Linked DNA regions of Arabidopsis thaliana. The protein of the gene in region 1 interacts with the protein of each later gene in a pairwise test. Each region holds a gene or a part of one and is shown in the gene's direction. Other genes may lie near its edges. The genes, in order: TCP9, CDF2, AT5G47390 and PLDBETA2.

Evidence for each region.
Region 2: the proteins of TCP9 (region 1) and CDF2 interact in binary tests that used the Arabidopsis thaliana proteins (3 or more experiments, as listed by UniProt).
Region 3: the proteins of TCP9 (region 1) and AT5G47390 interact in binary tests that used the Arabidopsis thaliana proteins (3 or more experiments, as listed by UniProt).
Region 4: the proteins of TCP9 (region 1) and PLDBETA2 interact in binary tests that used the Arabidopsis thaliana proteins (3 or more experiments, as listed by UniProt).

What each region holds. Positions count from the first base shown.
Region 1 is NC_003071.7:18,819,706-18,823,853, reverse strand, and holds TCP9 (TCP family transcription factor), read left to right. Parts: upstream 1-1,964; 5' UTR 1,965-2,066; coding exon 2,067-3,137; 3' UTR 3,138-3,612; downstream 3,613-4,148. Other genes in the region: SSE1 (shrunken seed protein (SSE1)), read left to right, coding at 166-227, 328-389.
Region 2 is NC_003076.8:15,876,877-15,882,060, forward strand, and holds CDF2 (cycling DOF factor 2), read left to right. Parts: upstream 1-1,849; 5' UTR 1,850-2,043; coding exon 2,044-2,277; intron 2,278-2,696; coding exon 2,697-3,836; 3' UTR 3,837-3,903; exon of another isoform or gene 3,904-4,205; 3' UTR 4,206-4,661; downstream 4,662-5,184. UniProt on the Arabidopsis thaliana protein: Transcription factor that binds specifically to a 5'-AA[AG]G-3' consensus core sequence. Regulates a photoperiodic flowering response. Transcriptional repressor of 'CONSTANS' expression.
Region 3 is NC_003076.8:19,224,895-19,229,430, forward strand, and holds AT5G47390 (myb-like transcription factor family protein), read left to right. Parts: upstream 1-1,874; 5' UTR 1,875-2,106; coding exon 2,107-2,389; intron 2,390-2,550; coding exon 2,551-2,759; intron 2,760-3,046; coding exon 3,047-3,652; 3' UTR 3,653-4,001; downstream 4,002-4,536. Other genes in the region: AT5G47400 (sphingomyelin phosphodiesterase), read left to right, coding at 4,268-4,536. UniProt on the Arabidopsis thaliana protein: Transcriptional repressor. Direct regulator of the transcription of peroxidase (Prxs) and reactive oxygen species (ROS)-related genes via the recognition of 5'-ATCACA-3' motif.
Region 4 is NC_003075.7:105,722-112,744, reverse strand, and holds PLDBETA2 (phospholipase D beta 2), read left to right. Parts: upstream 1-1,739; 5' UTR 1,740-2,026; coding exon 2,027-3,214; intron 3,215-3,569; coding exon 3,570-3,686; intron 3,687-3,756; coding exon 3,757-3,951; intron 3,952-4,197; coding exon 4,198-4,446; intron 4,447-4,601; coding exon 4,602-4,670; intron 4,671-4,759; coding exon 4,760-4,907; intron 4,908-5,213; coding exon 5,214-5,362; intron 5,363-5,536; coding exon 5,537-5,713; intron 5,714-5,795; coding exon 5,796-5,993; intron 5,994-6,071; coding exon 6,072-6,365; 3' UTR 6,366-6,495; downstream 6,496-7,023. UniProt on the Arabidopsis thaliana protein: Hydrolyzes glycerol-phospholipids at the terminal phosphodiesteric bond to generate phosphatidic acids (PA).

The sequences.
Region 1 (4,148 bases):
TTTCAATTATGGCATTTTCTGAAATGGGAAAAATTGAAACCGAAGTGGTTCATTTCCTCTTGGCTCTTATGTTAATATTAGATTTGGTATCCCTGGGTTTTAGGCTTAAAGCTTAAGCTATCGCGGGTTACTAATAAATCAAATATGCTTGTCTTGCAATTGCAGGCAGAAGCTGGAAAGCTCTCAAAAGAAGCTGGAACTAATTCCATTGATCGGATTCCTCACAGGTTTACTTTTTAAAGCTTTCATTTCATTCACGAGATCACTGATTGTCTTGTCTACTTGCCATCTACTGACCTTATTTTGGTTCTCTCATGGAAATTGCAGAGAAAATTGTGGAGCTTTTGGAGGGAGCTCAGTCACGGTACACTTACATATCGGGATCGTGAGGTTAAGCGTTTTACTTATGGTTTATATGCAACGGAAGAATATTGCCATTGTTGGAATGCTTTTTCAGATCATCAAAGGCTCCTACAGATTTCTTAGGGAATGGTTTCAGGCTTTTGTTAGAAATTGTGTTTATTGCAACAGGTAGAGAACATAACCATAGACAGATGTATCTGAAGAGATAAGCTTCTCTATGTCTAAAGAAATGGACCGATACGAATAAAACAAGCATCATTAAAGATTAAATGGTTTGTAAGAAATACTACACTTATTTATGTGAAATTGTGTGGTTAGTGAAAAGTAAAAACATCGGAATCCAAAACCTCAAATTTACCAATCAGCCCAAATTATTGATGCTGGCGTAATGAATGGTATGCTGATGGTAGGCAAAAGTTGGTGGCTGCGAAAATTACAACATTATCCCTCTGTGGTGGACCCGAATCTGTAATCGGAAAAGGTGGAACCCACTTGGTTTAACTTTTAAGCCTAAAAGGTTACTACCGGTTTGACCGGTTTATAATTTGGTGTTTAATTCTAATCCCGGATCCGTTTGTTTGTTAATCTCAAGGCCACGTTATCGCCAATATTTTGATTTTTGAGTGGGTAGGGAATGGTGGGGTCGAATAGTTGGGCCTAGCCCTCAACAATGTGTGGAACTGAAGAGAGTAGGGTCCAGCTCAGGCCCACATTCACATTTTCGTTTTGTAGCCTTTCTTTTCTGGTGCTTACGGTCCCTCTTTCTGGTCGGTCGTATGTACAAGTAGCATAGCTAGTGGTTCAAACCCGAAACAAGTACCAACGAATCAAAATAAGTTTGAATCGGTTACATCTAGTTACCGTCGAACTTACAATCATTTCGATTACTTTGATCTGATTTCTAGTTCGGTTTGTATGTTTAATATCCGGATTGTACAAGTACACAAGTACATAAGTATGCGTATATGTATGTGACCGGTTTAATCAAAGGACGGACGATAGGAGGATTTTGGAATCCTGGAAAGAGGATTATTCCATAGACACTAATTAGCTTTTTGGTGGCGCAGCCTTGTGACCTACATTAATGGGGTCCAACCCCAAGTATGGGCTTACAGCTTTTTCCATAAAATTAAAGTAAATCTTTTTTTGCCTAACCAATAAAAATTATTGAAAATCTTTCCAACCATAGAAAAGTTAAATTTGATCAGCGATGGAAATTTTTGTACAAAGCTAGGTATTTCATTTGGGAGTGTACTAGTAACTAGTAAGTACTAACCAGAATGAGTTTCTGATTTTGGATTTTGAAGCTTTTCTTAGGTTAAAAAACAAGTATATTACTAAACAATAAAAGAAAAACATTTTGTGAAAAGAGAAATAAAGTTTACTGGACCCCATTGTACAGATGGTCCCATAATAATACTGATAGAAGATAGAGCAATGGAAAGTGATTTGTTCACGTGGTACAATCGGAATGGTTCTTTAAAGCTCATCGAACACATCAGGACCGTTGATTTTTCCCGCATCAAAAAGCGTTGAATACTATTCTCACTTGTTTTCCTGCTCCTATATATATATCCTGACGAGTCACATTTAGTAATCTCCTTGGACGTGTAACGCCGTTAAAACGATTCTTTCCCATTGTATCCGCTTTTAACAACTCTCGTCGTCATCTCCACCGTCCGTTTTCTCTCAGCTATATTTTAATGGCGACAATTCAGAAGCTTGAAGAAGTTGCAGGCAAAGATCAAACTCTAAGAGCCGTTGATCTAACCATCATCAACGGCGTCAGAAACGTCGAAACTTCAAGACCTTTCCAAGTAAATCCCACAGTGAGTCTCGAGCCCAAGGCGGAGCCGGTGATGCCGTCGTTTTCAATGTCTTTAGCTCCACCGTCTTCGACAGGACCACCATTGAAGAGAGCTTCGACTAAAGACCGTCACACGAAGGTTGAAGGAAGAGGGAGAAGGATACGGATGCCTGCCACGTGTGCGGCTAGGATTTTTCAATTAACTCGAGAGTTAGGTCACAAATCCGACGGCGAAACGATTCGGTGGTTGTTGGAGAACGCTGAGCCGGCGATTATAGCCGCCACGGGTACGGGAACGGTTCCCGCCATCGCCATGTCGGTTAACGGAACCTTAAAAATCCCGACGACGACGAACGCTGATTCTGATATGGGTGAAAATCTGATGAAGAAGAAACGTAAACGACCTTCTAACAGTGAGTATATAGACATAAGCGACGCCGTTTCAGCTTCCTCCGGTTTAGCTCCAATTGCCACGACGACAACGATCCAACCTCCGCAAGCTCTGGCATCATCCACTGTGGCTCAGCAACTTCTGCCGCAAGGAATGTATCCGATGTGGGCTATTCCATCAAACGCAATGATTCCGACGGTCGGAGCTTTCTTCTTGATTCCACAAATCGCTGGTCCGTCGAATCAGCCTCAGTTATTAGCTTTTCCCGCCGCCGCTGCTTCGCCGTCGTCTTACGTCGCCGCTGTTCAACAGGCTTCCACGATGGCTAGACCACCTCCTTTACAAGTTGTTCCAAGCAGCGGCTTTGTATCCGTTTCAGACGTTAGCGGTTCGAATTTATCAAGAGCGACGTCGGTTATGGCTCCGAGCTCAAGCTCAGGCGTAACAACCGGTAGTTCATCGTCAATTGCAACAACAACGACGCACACGCTGAGAGACTTCTCCCTAGAGATATACGAGAAACAAGAGCTTCACCAGTTCATGAGCACCACAACAGCACGGTCATCGAACCACTGAAGAAAAGAAAGGAAACGGCGGCGTATTAGTGATCGGAAAAAAAGCACGTGTGCACATGAAGAAGTGCACGTGTTAAGAAGTGGGCCTCGATTTTAGGCAGAAGTGGGTCAACACGCACCAAAAAGAGAGTGGAGGGAGGAGGAGAGGGGCCACACGGCTCCCACCTTACGCATAGCTTCCGAGGCAGCCAGGTTGGGTGTGGTCCCCAAATGGTTAGAGCTACGTGGTCCGTATGAGTAGGACCAGCTTAAGCTTAAGCATAATTCGAAACGTTTCGTTTTTTTGGTGGGGGCTCACCACTTTGTCTTGACTTTTTTGGTCTTTGTAATTTTACAAAATAAGATTTATTGAAGCCCTCTCTAAGTCATGGTCCACTCAACAACAATTGTGATATTGATGTTTTGATTTTATTAAAATCTGTAACAAAATAAATATTTCTATCTAAAATGAAAATACTAATGTTGTTTTCCTAAAATTGTTGTAGCATTACTTTTCAAATGATTCCATTTTCTTACAAGTGTTACAAAAGCTTTTTGCGAAAAAAGTCTCGTCCGTGTTATTGGCGGGGCCTAGTAAGCTTGATTGTACCACTAATACGGCGTTGTTTCGTGGGGCCTGAAAGCTTCCCACTCAAGGGACGCCTAGTTGGGTCAGCACCACCAGTTTAACGCTAAGGAAATAAAGGAACAGCCTGGCGTGGGTCATACTTGTGTCTATCTAATCTTTACCGTTCAATTCCATCGTCTTGTCCTAACCGTTGATTCTATTTCGTTCGTTGTTTAATTAGTACTAGTAGTAGTAGATATTTTCTTCTTGTCTACGGTCTCAACGCCAGACAGGATTTACTATAAGATAACTTTGTTTATGTTTGATTTATAATTCAAGTGTGGTTGGTTAAAGTTAAACCATGGTTCTCCGTTTCACACCGTTGATTATATATTTTTTTAAGATATGTAGGAAGTAAAACTTTAAAAGGTTAAACACAAGGTAAAATGTATTATTGGAGGCCTA
Region 2 (5,184 bases), on another chromosome or scaffold:
GAGTTTTGTTTTTCCTAGTAACGATATGAAAATTTATTCGAATCAATCTTGTATTGTAATATTCGAAATTTGATCACCATGTTTTCATTAAGCAAAAATTCTCCGTTTTCACCAAGAGTCACTTAATGAACTTAGCCAGCTTTTACAATATAGTTCATTCAAGTTCTTTTTTTTTTTTTTTTACAATATAGTTCATTCAAGTTCTTTTTTTTTTTTTTTTTACAATATAGTTCATTCAAGTTCTTTTTTTTTTTTTTTTTTACAATATAGTTCATTCAAGTTCTAATTCGAGAATGTTCAAGTCATGTGATATATCAACGAGACTTGTTTTTATACGAAAAATGCTAATTTTAATAAAACAAAACTCAAATAACGTTTCTTTAGTTCGGGGAAACAGTCGAAAAATGATAAAATATGTTTCCTAAGAATCTTTATCAGTCGTGCCTCCAAGTGGGGATAATATAATAAATGTAATGAAAAAACTTTATTATATAGTATATATTTGTGATTTGGGGTGGTCTGAAATAAAGGTACTATATACTTATCCACATAATTGCACTTTTTCAATGTTAGACTTGGCGTTCAATTACTTCTTATCCACAATATTGCACTTTTTCCAAATCGACTTGGCGTTCATTAGTAACCACAACTTCTAACATCGACTTATTACAGCCACGTATCTCTGATATGTTGAAGATTTTATGACAAGAATATAGGCAAAAAAGAGGAAAGAAACTGAAGATCCACTATATAGTAAATACTTGTAGCTTCATTTAAAAAAAAGAAAGTGATTTCAATGTTAATTTATTTTTCCTACAAGTACCAAGCTAAAACTGTAACTAAATGACTATTATTATCAGCGTAAAAAAACACATACTCCTTTTGTTTTTTTTTTTTGATTTTCTAGAAAAAAATTGTTTCAAAAAGATTGATTTTTTGGTTTTCAATGCAATATTTATTTAGTTATAATTGATAAATTGTAAACTTCAATAAGAATTATTGAATATCATTGGTTTAGAGTTATTGAAAATTATAAATTACAAAGAATAATACATTTAAAAGCAACATTTAATATGTTTTCTTAATATTTGTGTTTTTCCTAAAAAATCAAAGAAAAAAGAACACAAGGAGTATCAATCTGTAAAATGGATTTGTTTGAAGACAAAGATTGGTTTTTTTGGGGATAAAATACTATATTTTTTTAGTATTTTAATTTTTTGTTGGATCTTCTTAGTTCTTTAAAAATGAGAAAATTAATGTTTATATCATGTAATTTGTTTCTTTCATAAATATGTTTTTTTTTTCTTTCTCTCCAAATCTAATCATGATATTGTTTTCCATGGATATGGCTATTATAGAAAGCTAGGAATTAAAAAGTGTTTCAAGGTTTTAAATATGTTTTTTGTTTGTTACTCTAAAGTTTGTTTTTTCTTCTGAAATTTCATTTATAAACAGTAATTTTTTAATAAATGTGTGGGTAACAAAAAATTTATTGACATAGTTAGAATTAGAAAACATGTAAATTAGAAGTTAAATGGCCTTTAATCAACCATTTTTACATTAATTTAAAAAAATTCAGACTTTTAAAATAAAAAAGTTAAAAATGAAAAGAAAAGTAAAAGTAAAAAAAAGTGCTGACCACTGACCAGATTGAAAAGGAAAATAAAAAGAAAGCCAAAAAGAGACGAAAAAGAGAAAAAAAAAAGTCCACAAAAACAAAAATAAACTTGTGGCTAAGAATCCTCACGTGTGATGACGTGGCACTCTGGGCGAATCAAAAGGTTGTACAATTCGAAAGATCACAAACCCAAAAAGCAAAATCTGTAAATCTTTTTTCTTTCTCTCTCGCAAAGACAAAAAAGCATTCCCAATTAACAAATCTAGAAATCAAAACTCAGACAACCACCGATAACAAGACAGTCGTTTCTCTCTCTCTTTTAAACAAATAAAAATTGGAACTTTTTTCCTCTGTCTTCTCAAAAAGTTTCCGCTTTTTGCTCGCTGGAGAAGAAAGAAAGAAAGAAGTGAAAAGGAATCATTACCATGGCTGATCCGGCGATTAAGCTCTTTGGAAAGACGATTCCTTTACCTGAGCTTGGTGTTGTTGATTCTTCTTCTAGCTATACCGGATTTTTAACCGAAACTCAGATTCCTGTTCGGTTATCAGATTCGTGTACCGGCGATGATGATGATGAAGAGATGGGTGATTCCGGTTTAGGACGAGAAGAAGGTGATGATGTTGGTGATGGTGGAGGAGAGAGCGAGACTGATAAAAAGGTTAGTTTTTTTTGGAACTTGTGAATTGATTTTGATTTGTTAAATGGAAATGATTGATGGGTTTATGTTAGATTGGTCAAATCTTAGTTTTATTGATAAAGTTATGATTTTTGGTTTGTTTATGTAAGAACTAGGTTTTCAGAGCTTTTGGGGATTCGAAAATTGTAAATCTGGATTCTCAAATGAGTTTTTTTTTTTCCTTTTGTTATAAAGTGATTTGAGATCTTAATTAGTTCCATTTGGTTTTGATTGATGGTTATAGGTTTTGATATTGATTTGCTTAAGAACTTTTCAGGGTTTTAGCTTCTCTGTGATTGGAATCAAGTCTTTGATCCCTGTAGCTTCTAGCTTCTGTTTGTTGTTTGTTTGATTAGGATACATAACAACGATCTGACTCTGGTTCTTATGTTATTCTTCAGGAAGAAAAAGATAGTGAGTGTCAGGAAGAGTCATTGAGGAATGAATCTAATGATGTTACTACTACTACATCGGGTATAACTGAAAAAACGGAAACAACAAAAGCTGCAAAGACGAATGAAGAGTCAGGTGGTACTGCTTGCTCTCAAGAGGGGAAGTTAAAGAAACCTGATAAGATTCTACCGTGTCCGCGATGTAACAGCATGGAAACCAAGTTCTGTTACTACAACAACTATAATGTTAACCAACCTCGCCATTTCTGCAAGAAATGTCAGAGATATTGGACAGCTGGTGGAACGATGAGGAATGTTCCGGTTGGTGCTGGGAGACGTAAGAATAAGAGTCCAGCTTCTCATTATAACCGTCATGTAAGTATAACATCTGCGGAAGCTATGCAGAAGGTGGCGAGAACTGATCTTCAACATCCTAATGGTGCAAATCTTCTCACTTTTGGCTCTGATTCTGTGCTTTGTGAATCTATGGCTTCTGGATTGAATCTTGTTGAGAAGTCATTGTTGAAGACACAAACTGTATTGCAAGAACCCAATGAAGGCTTGAAGATTACGGTTCCGTTAAACCAGACAAACGAAGAAGCTGGAACAGTCAGCCCGTTACCAAAAGTTCCATGCTTTCCAGGACCACCACCAACTTGGCCTTACGCTTGGAACGGAGTTTCGTGGACGATTTTACCGTTTTACCCTCCACCGGCTTACTGGAGCTGCCCGGGGGTTTCACCGGGGGCATGGAACAGCTTCACATGGATGCCACAACCCAATTCACCATCTGGTTCCAATCCAAATTCTCCTACACTAGGTAAACATTCACGTGACGAGAACGCTGCTGAACCAGGAACCGCTTTTGATGAAACCGAGTCACTTGGTAGGGAGAAAAGCAAACCCGAGAGATGCTTGTGGGTTCCCAAGACGCTGAGGATTGATGATCCAGAGGAAGCTGCTAAAAGTTCCATCTGGGAAACATTAGGGATCAAAAAAGACGAAAATGCGGATACTTTCGGAGCTTTCAGATCATCAACCAAAGAAAAAAGCAGTCTTTCTGAAGGAAGACTTCCGGGAAGAAGACCGGAGTTGCAAGCGAATCCTGCTGCTCTTTCTAGGTCAGCAAACTTCCATGAGAGCTCATAGAAAGAAGAAGAATCTAAGCAGCTGATTTGATTGTTTTTGGGTTCAGTCTTGTGTTCCAAGAAAGCAGGTGAGTCCTTTTGTACATATAGCTATATATACACACACATGTTTGTGTATATATATATAATGGTTGACATAGTGAGGGATAAGTAGTTTTTGGATTGCAGAGTGAAAGTTTGTTGTATCATAAATGAAAAAACCTCAAAACTGTAGTTAAATAAATGTATCTTGCATGAATAACTTATTTTCCCTATCATGACATTGTATGTTCACAGACAAATTCAAACAAGTTTAAAGGAACGTTTATAGTTATCCACATGATGTATGATTCTCAGAATCTTGAGAGTGATCTAACTTATTGGACTTCAGTAGTAGTGGCAGCAACAAGCTTGTTTTCGGCATCCGCGGAGGAGCGAACCACTGTCTTCAACTTCTTAGATGACCGCGATGTCAAGTGTTTACCATGGTAAATCAGGTTTGCTTTAGTAGATGTGTAGTCATTCTTATAACCAGTCCAAAAATCACCCAACAAAGACATGAACCAAGTCTCGAAAAAGCAAGCCGCGATCACCAATACTGCGAAAATAACGCAAACACAGCTTCTTCACTGCAAGCAAATGGTCATGGTTGATGCATGAATGGAGAGTCTATTGACAACATACATAAGCAAAAGCAATGTGGTAGATGCATGAAGAGAAGATATTGCAAGCTGCCAACTACGGTTCGATATTTGTATAATCTAGGATTAAAAATATTAAAGAAACCACACTAAATGGATTGACAAAGTCAGCTATATCAGAAGATTTATCGTCTATTGACCAAAACAACCAATGAAAGAACATTTTGATACTATATTAAGAGATAAGTAGTAAATTAATATAGAAGAAGTTTGTGAAAAACGCCAAAAGAAAAAGAAAGCCACTACCTTGTTTGTTCAGTTGCAATTTCCAGGAAATTTAGTAAGGAAATTAGTTGCAATTGTGACATTAAATTCGTGTTAGTCTTTTTCATGACTAGAACAATAAGAGTACTATTGAATTAGTCATCGTTTAATTGATTTCTTACGTTTGGTCAAACAAGTCACGGATTATGGTGAGAAAACGATTACTTAATTGTGGAAATTAGCTATAAGAAATTTTCCTTTGCTTTTTATGTTTTTCTTAGTCTACTTGTTTGTCTCGCTGCCTTACTCTTGCAAAATTTATACGAAATTTCGTCTGAATATTTTACATAAAGTAAAGTAAGTATTCATATGAAATTTGTATCAAAATTTGTCAAGACTAGTAAGAATGAACTGAACCACACAATACAACAATTCAAACCATGACCAAAAATATGTCGATTTGGT
Region 3 (4,536 bases), on another chromosome or scaffold:
TGTCATGTCGGTCCGAGTACATTGAGAATTTAATGTTCCGATATAAATTTCCTTGTTTTTTCCCAATTTTGAAAAGTCCGTTAAATTTTCATATTTATTCAACGAGACACTGTACTTTCAGTTTCCACCGAAAAATAATTCATTACTCATCATTTATTCAATGTTCGATAATTTCTTGGAAGCAGACAGCATTTGGGCCTCGAGATTTAAATTGGCCCAAGGTCCACGTTTACTTGGGTCAATCACAGTCAAAACGTTTTCCCGGGGTTTCTCTCAATTTTTTTGTCAAAGTCTCTCAACTTTTAAAAATACAAACACTGGGATCCTCCACGGCATGCAAAAGGATATTATAATGAAGATGAAATCAAATTGGTATAAAAAGTTGGAGAAAGGTATAAACACTATGTATGTGGCTAAAAATAGCTAGAAACTTATAATTTAGGTGAAAGAAGATTTGAGTAACGTTGTTGTTGTTATATAATAAGATGAAATAATGACAAGAAATCTGAAATAATATGCGAATATGCCACCGACGGGAGAAATACACGTGGACGGCTGATAAAGCTTTGTGAAGGAATCCCACAATAATATAAGAAGATCTGACCAAAGGTTCCTTTCTGGATAAGCCGCTCTCCTCGTGTCCACGTGGCATTTTCAAACGTGGGACCTCCTAATCTATATCACTAAACCCATCCACTCATATTATCTCTCTTTCTATCATCTAAAATCCAAAATGTTCGTCCATTTTTTTTTTTCTGTTCATAAACAAAAACTGCATTGCCTTTTAATTTATTCTTCTTCTAATCCATACAAATGATTATGGAACTATAAATCTATAATAATAATACAATTAACCACAAAATAAAATATATCTTAGTATTATAAGATATGACTTTTGGAGTTAGGGGGTGTCTAATACAAATATTATGGTATTTGTAATCTTAGCAAGAAATGAAATCACAATCATGTTTATCTTTCTTAAGATAACATATTTTACTCAGTCATGGGTCTACTTTTATTTTCAGTTTAGATTATTAAATAAATAACAATAGTTTTGTCGCCTTACTATATGACCAAAAATTAGATTTTCTCTATGTGTAGGATGTTGGCATTTGTTTACCATTTTTCTTATGATAACTTATTAAACAGATGTCATATTTTACTTATTTGTGTTTATAACTGTTAAAATCTAGTCAAGCTTTCTGTATGGAACGCGTGAAGGGCTATTAAGATATTTTAAAATGTTGAATAGTGTAATTAATCTTGTGGCTAATAATATTCATGCCAATTGTTAATTTCTGGTGGAGGGTTAACACTTGTACATAAATACTTAATTTTTCTTTTTGCAGTTTTTGTATAGATATCCATCCTTATATAAATAGAAAAATATAAGGAAATTGTAATGATTTAGCATAAGACAATTGGATAATCACAAATGCATTAAACCTATTAACTAGTCTATATAGAAAGAGTTATTAGTTACAGCTATACTATTTGTGGTGGCATTAATATATAGTAACTTATTTAAGATATATGTCATAATGTTAAAAAGAAATCACAGAGAAAGCTGTTATTTTTTTTAATCCTAAATTTAAAACTTTGGATATTGAGATTAGCCTGTAATACATCTTTTTCCAAAAAATTTATACAAAAATGGCCATTAATAATTAATAGTAATAGCTAGTTGGACTTCTTAGTTCAAAGTAATTCAACATTTTTTCTAAAATAAATCTTCTAATAATAGAACACGTTGGATTGACTAATTAAGTCAAATATGAAATATGGAAAAGGAAAAAAATCCACCAACGATACACCAAATAATTTCCGATTTTTATATATATAAATAAACATACTAAGAGCAAAAGAAAAACAAACTGAAAATAAAAAAAATAAATAAATAAAAAAAAAAATCCGGCCAGATAAATCGAATTTATGTAATAAATCCGACCAGATAAACTGATATTATTGTCTTTCTTCCGCTCCTTTGTCTCTCTATCTCTTTCTCACAATTAGATTCTGTGCTTCTTCTGCGATCAACTAAGATCCGATCCGCGAGCGTTTCAGACTTCGATCAGATCCGATTAAGAGAAGCAAATCGGGTCGGGTATGACTCGTCGATGTTCTCACTGCAATCACAATGGCCACAACTCTCGGACTTGTCCCAATCGCGGCGTGAAGCTCTTTGGTGTTCGGCTCACCGAAGGTTCGATCCGGAAAAGTGCAAGTATGGGTAATCTTAGCCATTACACGGGTTCTGGATCGGGTGGGCATGGAACCGGGTCCAACACTCCGGGTTCTCCGGGTGATGTCCCTGACCATGTCGCTGGTGATGGTTACGCTTCTGAGGATTTCGTTGCTGGCTCTTCCTCTAGCCGCGAGAGAAAGAAAGGTATCTTCGTTTGATTTCTGAGATTAAATTTTTTATCAAATTCCAAATTTTTGTAATTGAGTTTATTTTGCATCAAAGTCGTTGATTGCATTATGTAACAAGTGGTGATCTGGTTTATGTAACAAGATTTTGATGTGTGTTTGATATTGGTTTTGTTGTAGGAACTCCATGGACAGAGGAAGAACACAGGATGTTCTTATTAGGTTTACAGAAGCTGGGTAAAGGTGATTGGAGAGGTATCTCAAGAAACTATGTGACCACTAGGACACCTACACAAGTTGCTAGCCATGCTCAGAAGTATTTCATCAGACAATCCAATGTCTCTCGTCGCAAAAGACGTTCTAGTCTCTTTGATATGGTTCCTGATGAGGTTTGTTCCTTCTTCATTCAAAAACACCATTTTTATTTATATTGGAGTGGTTACAAAATGTGTTGAGATACTGATTTAAAGGATTCAGAAGCTTATTAGGTGGATTGGTTTGCCTTCTACATTTCAATATGAAAAGTTGAAGTCTGTTGGGGTTCTAATTGATATGCTTGAGGATATCATTTTGTAGCCAATCCTGCTTAAGCATTTTGGTCTTCTCATGGGAATGTGATCTTGAAATGTAATTCTCTTTCTTTATTCTGCTTATGCTGTGTGATTTGTCCTTGTAGGTTGGAGATATTCCCATGGATTTGCAAGAACCAGAGGAAGATAATATTCCTGTGGAAACTGAAATGCAAGGTGCTGACTCTATTCATCAGACACTTGCTCCTAGCTCACTTCACGCACCGTCAATCTTGGAAATCGAAGAATGTGAATCAATGGACTCCACAAACTCTACCACCGGGGAACCAACCGCAACTGCCGCTGCTGCTTCTTCTTCTTCCAGACTAGAAGAAACCACACAACTGCAATCACAACTGCAACCGCAGCCGCAACTACCTGGCTCATTCCCCATACTATATCCGACCTACTTTTCACCATATTACCCGTTTCCATTCCCAATATGGCCTGCTGGTTATGTTCCTGAACCACCCAAGAAAGAGGAAACTCATGAAATTCTCAGACCAACTGCTGTGCACTCGAAAGCTCCTATCAATGTTGACGAGCTTCTTGGTATGTCTAAGCTCAGCCTTGCAGAGTCCAACAAACATGGAGAATCCGATCAGTCTCTTTCATTGAAGCTAGGTGGCGGGTCATCTTCAAGACAATCAGCATTTCACCCGAATCCTAGCTCTGATAGTTCAGACATCAAAAGCGTGATACACGCTTTATAAAAGACCTGAGGAAGTGATGGTCTAAAATGGGATCTGGTTTGGGGTTTACAGGTTAGTTGTTGGTCACAGTAACTTAAATAAGTTTTTCTTTGTTAGGTTGTTTAACTTGGGTAGGATGTTTTAGTTCAGCTTTGATCATTAGGGAAAAGAAAAAAGAAAAAAAAAAGGGAGAAAAACAAATTATTATTTTTTGCTTACATTTCTTTATATTTGTATGCTTTTATTTTGACTCTAGGATGCGTTAATTTTCGTTTAATCTGTACTAAAAATTAGAATTTATTAGTTTTGAATAAATAAAATCACAGTTTGTTTATCCTCTGACCAAAAACTATAACTGGATTGAAAACGGAAATTAAACCAAGACGAACCGGATTTAACCGGACTCCAGTGTTGTAAGAGAAAGTAAACAAGTTCCCAAGCGTTTCGTAAGTAAAAAAACGAATGGGCTAAACAATTAGTCTAAATGGGCCTTAAAAGAGTGAATAACGTGTCATAATCAGGAGCGTTAAATTTAGGGCGATGAGTGTCGAGAGTGTTCCCGCGTTCACCGATTCACTCCACTCTTTGGTTAAAAAGTCCACTGTCATGGAAAATTAATCGCGGTGATTTACACAGATGCCACGTGGCACGTTCGCTTTCTTTTTCTTCCTCGTGTTGATTTTTTTTCTTCTCTTTTGTCCCTCTTTGGTTTTTCTTTTCCCCTTCACAAGGCGCGATTTGAGTCGCCTCGCATTTCAAACCCTTCTTCTCCGGCGTAAACCTTTGCTCTATCTCTCGATAAAAACCCTTGTTTCGTTTTCACCTTCGTATTTAGCGATGCTTCCACACTCCTACACCGTCGATTCGCTTTCGCAATCACAAGACCTAGCTTCAGCTATACTCTC
Region 4 (7,023 bases), on another chromosome or scaffold:
TTAGGATTTTGTAAATGTGCTTCTTTTTTTAATGTCTCTCTACTCAAAACTCATGACCAGAGTTATTACAAAACAAAGAAACACACAATAGAATGGATTCACAAACATATTCAACAAGAGTTCTAAATAGCTTATATGGTGATAGGTTCAACCTCATTAAACAAAATGGATTCTGAAATGATGTTTGTAAATTGTATATTTATTGTTTATGATAATTACGTGCAGTTTGAGTTATTCTGGTGACACTAGTTCCTCTTTCTCAAGTACCAAATGCAACCAAAATAAAACATATACATTTAGTTACAATCTTTCACAGAAGTTATTATGTCTATAATAAAAAAATTAAGAGATTCTGCATCTTGAAACTGCAAAGTAGGTGAGGAAATAAAAAGAAACATAAATTGTGTTTATGAGCATGCTTGTTGTTAGAGTCCCAATATGTAGTAGAGTAGCTTGCAAGAAATCAGAGTTAATTATGCGTTTAAGAGCATGCTTGTGTGTGTAAGTGTTTCAAGTAAAACTATAATAAGTATGTGTGTTTGTATCTTGTAAGAGAATCACCCAAGTTTTATTATCAAGACATCATGCTCTTAAACGTGTTCTTGTTTCTCTCTAAAGAAAACAAAAGCAAAACAGAGTGACAAGAGAGTGAGAGTGCTGACCTCAAAAGAATGTTGGAAGAGGTAGTTTGAGAGTGAAAGTGTGATTTTCAACAGATATCTTCCTCACGTAGAAGAAGTTGAATGGTTAATATCAATATTGTTATGTATAACCAAGAAAGCTATAGAATTGCACTATGATATTGTGAAGCTGCAGAAAAATAAACAACAGTAAAGTACATACTTGAACAAGAAAATGAACTTTGTTAGTCCGCGTACTTGTCTTAACTCTTATGCAGGGGTAGCCAAGCAATATGAAACATTTAGTGTGGCCCATTTTTTTTTTTTCAAATTCTTTAACAAAAATTATTTACAAAATGGCCCCAATTTTATTGATTTTAACGATAATTGGCCCTAAATTTTAAAACCTTTCAAAATAATCTTGGATTTTTTGTTTTTTTGTATGTTGCCCATAAAACCGTCAGGTCTTAGGTAAAACATCTATAAATTAATATTCAATAAATTAATAAACTTTATAAATTAATAAATTCATTCAATCCCGAGTTGAAACCAGTGTAAGAATTGATACAAATCGATAAATTAATAAAATAATAACTTTTTGTGAAAATCATATGTAAATATTTGGTCCCATCAATATTATAAATTCACTAATTTATATATATATATATATAGATATATACTAAAATATGAATATAGTATTCAATTTGTATTAATTCTTTGTAGAATTTAATTCTAATATTTTTACTAAATCGAAAAATTTAGTTTTGGTTTTTAAACTTGATAATTGTTTAATAATTGTAATTGGTTTCAAAAATATTATTGATTATAAGAAAAGAAAAAAAATACCTTTTTTGATTGAATATTATAAGAAATTACATAATTTGTAAAATTTCTTTATAAATTAATATCTCTTCAAATTAATAAATTTTATCAATCTTAAAATTATTAATTTATAGAGATTTTACCTAATATGCATTTTTAACTAAAAGTCATAATGTTATATATTTTATTTATATTTAGAGAATAATATATATATTAAAAAAAAAAAAAAAAAAGGTTGACAAGTGGAAATATGTGACCGGCAATAGTAAGTTAAGTTGACCAAAACCAAAACCAATAAAATCAAAATCGAGAGACTCTTTCTTCCCCCAAGCGAAGAAGCGATGATCAAAATTTTACAACGGTTCCTCCATTTTCAGCGAAGGTAAGTCTCACCTAATTCCTTGGAACTAAGCTCCGCTGTGATCCGAATGTACTTATATATCTCTCTCTTCTGATCAATTCGCAAACCGCCATTGTTGCTTTTTTGAAATTTCGCTTCTGATGAAGAAATGTTGATCGGAGAAAACGTTGAAGACGTTTGAATTTCTTTATGAATTAGTCAGTTGTGGTGTTAGTTAGTTACGATGGAGAATTATGGTTGGAATTACCCTTATTACCCTTACAGGCCTCCGCGGCCTAATCCTCCTTACCCAGCACCGCCTCATCACCATGGATCAATGTCTCATTCGGGTCCATTAGACCACCACCACCCTCCAATGAGTTACTATGCTTCTTTTGATTACCAACACCAACCTCCTCCTCCTTACCCTCCAGTGAGTTACTATGCTTCGTTTTCAAGTCATTCAGATTTATCATACTCAGGCAGGCTAGATTCGTCTGGTCATGGTTTTACATCTACCGCATCGCCGCATAGTCCCGGTATGCACATTGTGCCCTTTGGTAAAGCCTCCTTGAAGGTCCTCTTGTTGCATGGTAATTTGGATATTTGGGTTTCTTGTGCTAATAATCTACCAAACTTAGATTTGTTTCATAAGACATTGGGTGTTGTGTTTGGTGGCATGACCAATATGATCGAAGGCCAGTTGAGCAAGAAGATCACTAGTGATCCTTACGTGTCCATATCAGTCGCTGGTGCTGTCATAGGAAGAACATATGTCATTAGCAACAGCGAAAATCCTGTCTGGCAGCAGCATTTTTATGTCCCTGTAGCTCATCACGCTGCCGAGGTCCATTTTGTTGTTAAGGACAGTGATGCCGTCGGTTCACAGCTTATAGGAATTGTTACAATCCCTGTTGAACAAATTTACTCAGGTGCAAGAATTGAAGGGACTTACTCCATTCGAGACAGCAATGGAAAGCCTTGTAAACCAGGGGCAACTCTATCATTGTCGATTCAGTATACTTCAATGAATAAACTCAGTGTTTATCACAGCGGAGTTGGTGCAGGTCCCTATTACCAGGGGGTGCCTGGAACATATTTTCCTCTTAGGGAAGGTGGAAGTGTCACATTGTACCAAGATGCACATGTACCTGAAGGGATGCTCCCGGGAATAAAACTCGGAAATGGAATGTGTTACGAACATGGAAAGTGTTGGCATGATATGTTTCATGCCATTTGTCAAGCTAGACGTTTGATTTATATTACAGGCTGGTCAGTGTGGCATAATGTCAGGCTTGTTCGGGATAAAGAAGATCCTTCTTCAGAATGTAGACTAGGTGAGCTCCTAAGATCAAAGTCCCAAGAAGGTGTGAGAGTCCTGCTTTTGGTTTGGGACGACCCAACTTCACAAAACATCTTGGGATACATGACCGTAAGTTACTGGAAACCTCAAGTCCCTACTTCTTTATTGGTTGTGAAGTGCATATGTTAGCTAGGCTATATAGGGTAGGAACCAGAACATCTTTTAGAGTCTCGGAAGTCAACAGCTTTGGCTTCTTCAAGTCGTATTGAGGTTCCTTCCGTTTATTTGTTAGCCTACTTTTCCTTGTAGACCAGAAATTTTTTGGTGGGTTTAATCTTCAGTTTGAATCTAGTAAGTATGAGAAATGTTTGCTTCACGCAGAAACCTGCAACTAGATAGAGATATATGTATCTTAGATGACATAGTTTAGATATGGTTATTCATGTATGTTTTAGGTATTGACACAATTTGTTCACATGAACAGGATGGGGTTATGGGAACCCATGACGAGGAGACACGCCGTTTTTTCAAGGACTCCTCAGTGCAAGTCTTGCTATGCCCTCGAAATGCTGGAAAGCGACATAGTTGGGTCAAACAGAGGGTAGAACATGAATTTTTGGTCTTTTTTTTGGTTGTGGTATCCGGCTTCTATTTATATTTTAGTCCATCAGGAAGTTGGAACCATCTATACACACCACCAAAAAAACTTAATAGTAGATGCCGATGCTGGGGGTAACAGAAGGAAAATCGTAGCTTTTGTGGGCGGGCTTGATCTATGTGATGGCCGATATGATACTCCTCAACATCCGTTGTTTAGGACACTGCAAACAGATCATAATGGTGACTATCACAACCCCACTTTCACGGTATGTCTGCTTGCCTTTCTAAATATATATTAGTGTAACTTTGGTGTCGAATACTTAAGGAATTTATAGCAAGGAATAACCTTTGGCAGTGGAAAAACATACTGCTTTTAACTTTATTAAGTGGTACTTCAATCTTTGTCTGTCTTCTCAAGTTCTTCTTGGTGATTACCTAAGTAATTCTTAGTTGCTAGTTTCTTTTGTTCTGAATGGGAAAGCCTTGACTTGGATTACTAAAATGTAATTAAGGGTAACGTGTCCGGTTGTCCAAGAGAACCTTGGCATGACTTGCACAGTAAGATTGATGGCCCAGCTGCGTATGATGTGCTGACAAATTTTGAGGAGAGGTGGCTGAAGGCTGCTAAGCCTCACAGAATCAATAAATTGAAGACGTCATATGATGATGCACTACTAAGGATCGACAGGATTCCAGATATATTAAGAGTTTTGGATGCTCCTACTGTTAGTGCAAACGACCCCGAGGCTTGGCATGTTCAGGTACGCACCATTGTATTAAAGTTTGGTTCTGATTAATTCACAAAGTCCATGGAAAGATGCCCATCTCTCAGTTGAACCATGCAAATTTTATACTTTGGTCCACAAATATTGTCCCAAATTTCTGAAGCTAATAATTGTCTGGTTTTGTAAATCAGATTTTCCGGTCAATCGATTCAAACTCTGTGAAAGGTTTTCCAAAGGATCCAAAATATGCTACAAGCAAGGTGAGGTGAAAAAATCAAAGAAACTTTGTGCTGTCATTATGATTTGGTTGGCTTGGAAATTGATGGATAGAGGGATTTTGTTTGGACAGAATTTGGTGTGCGGTAAGAATGTGCTCATTGACATGAGCATACACACCGCATATGTAAAGGCCATTCGTGCAGCTCAACACTTCATCTACATCGAGAACCAGTATTTCATTGGATCCTCCTACGACTGGAATGCTCACAAGGACATAGGTTTGTTTGTCTTTGTTTTTTCAAGTGAGCTCATGATTAGGAAAAACTCAAGATTACGATAATTTTCTCAAAATGTGTGTATATATACATGAATTAATACACAGAACAGAGACATTGTTTTTATCACTTTTCCAGTGCATTTAGCTGCGTCTGTGGTAACTCTTTTGCTTGTGGTTTTGACATTTCAGTTTCTTTGGTATTAAAATGTTGAGCACTATTCTCAGTATTTTTCTCAACTTAAGACAATGGTCTTGACAACCTTGGTCATTTCTTTAAGGTTGTTTATTCTATGTTGTGGTCATGTAGGTGCCAACAACCTGATTCCTATGGAAATTGCGTTGAAGATTGCTGATAAGATCAGAGCAAAGGAACGGTTTGCTGCATATATTGTCATTCCAATGTGGCCAGAAGGAGTTCCTACCGGCGCCGCTACACAAAGAATTCTATATTGGCAGGTAATTCTAGTGAAGTTGTGTCTTTGCAAACCGTTAACCTTCTCTGTCTTAGTCCATGTGACAATATTGATATCATGATCTTTCCCTTAATATTTCCTCAAAAATTGGTCAATGATCATTTAAGTAGACACTAGAAGATTGTGAAACTAAATGTCATAGTTATCGTCTTTGCAGCACAAGACGATGCAAATGATGTATGGAACTATCTACAATGCGTTAGTGGAGGCCGGGCTTGAAGATGAATACTCCCCACAAGACTATTTGAATTTCTTCTGTCTTGGAAACCGAGAAATGGTGAACGGAAATAATGAATCGGGTACAGGAAGTGCAAGCAACGAGAACACTCCTCAGGTAACAAAACCAAACTGCTTGACTTGCTAATGCGGTTTCTATCGTCATTGATTGATGAGTTTTGATTGAAACTGTATTATAGGGATTATGTCGAAAGAGCAGAAGATTTATGATATATGTTCATTCAAAAGGGATGGTTGTTGATGATGAGTATGTGGTAATTGGATCTGCAAACATAAACCAAAGATCAATGGAGGGGACAAGAGATACAGAGATTGCAATGGGAGCTTACCAGCCTCAACATACATGGGCACGACGACAGTCAGGTCCTCGGGGTCAGGTAATAGCACACAAAGATAGTACACACATGGTTTCATAGTCCTAGTCGTATCAATAATACTTGGTACATAATCTGCAGATCTACGGATATAGAATGTCGCTTTGGGCAGAACACATGGCACTGCTAGATGATTGCTTTGTGGAGCCAGAGAGTCTAGGGTGTGTAAGGAAAGTGAGAACAGTGGCGGAGGAGAACTGGGAACAGTTTAGGAGTGAGGAAGTGTCGGAGATGAGAGGACATCTGATGAAATATCCGGTGGAAGTTGATCGGAAAGGCAAAGTCCGACCACTTCCAGGAAGTGAGGAGTTCCCTGATGTCGGAGGAAACGTTGTTGGATCCTTTCTAGCCATACAGGAGAATCTCACTATCTAATCATAAGCAGAGTCGCATTTATTAAGAAGACCTTATATGTGTAAACAAACAACAATTGATCAGACTTTGTAAATAAACAAAGTTTGATGTTTCTCCTCAAGTTTGAATAACAAGTAAAAAGAAGCTACTTAATCCTAATTCTATTTAGAATAAGAAATCATGTACATGAAAAAGCTTTGGCCTGGCTATAAAATCCGAAATCCGAAAACCGATCCGGAACCGAACTTGAACCGAATAGTTACAAAATCCGAATGGATAATGAATTCTCCTATCCGAATTACTCGAACCGAATCCGATCCGAACCGAAATCCGAGAGGATATCCGAAAACTGAAAAATATATATATCCAAAAATATTATTTATATTTAGTTGTAATTTTATAATAAATAACAAAATATCCTAAATAATAAAGAAATTGGAAATCTTTTAGTTACATTTGTTAATAGTATACATACTTTTGCAAAATTTAACCAAATTTTAGTAAAGATTAAACCAATTTTTATTTAAGTTGAACAATTTTTAGCTCTTTAAAAACCGGTCCGAATCCGACACTTATCCGAACAAAAACCAAACCAAAGATTAGTAAAATCCGAACGGATAATAAATTTTCTATCCAAATTATCCGAATCCGAAAATATCCGATCCGAATTCGATCCGAA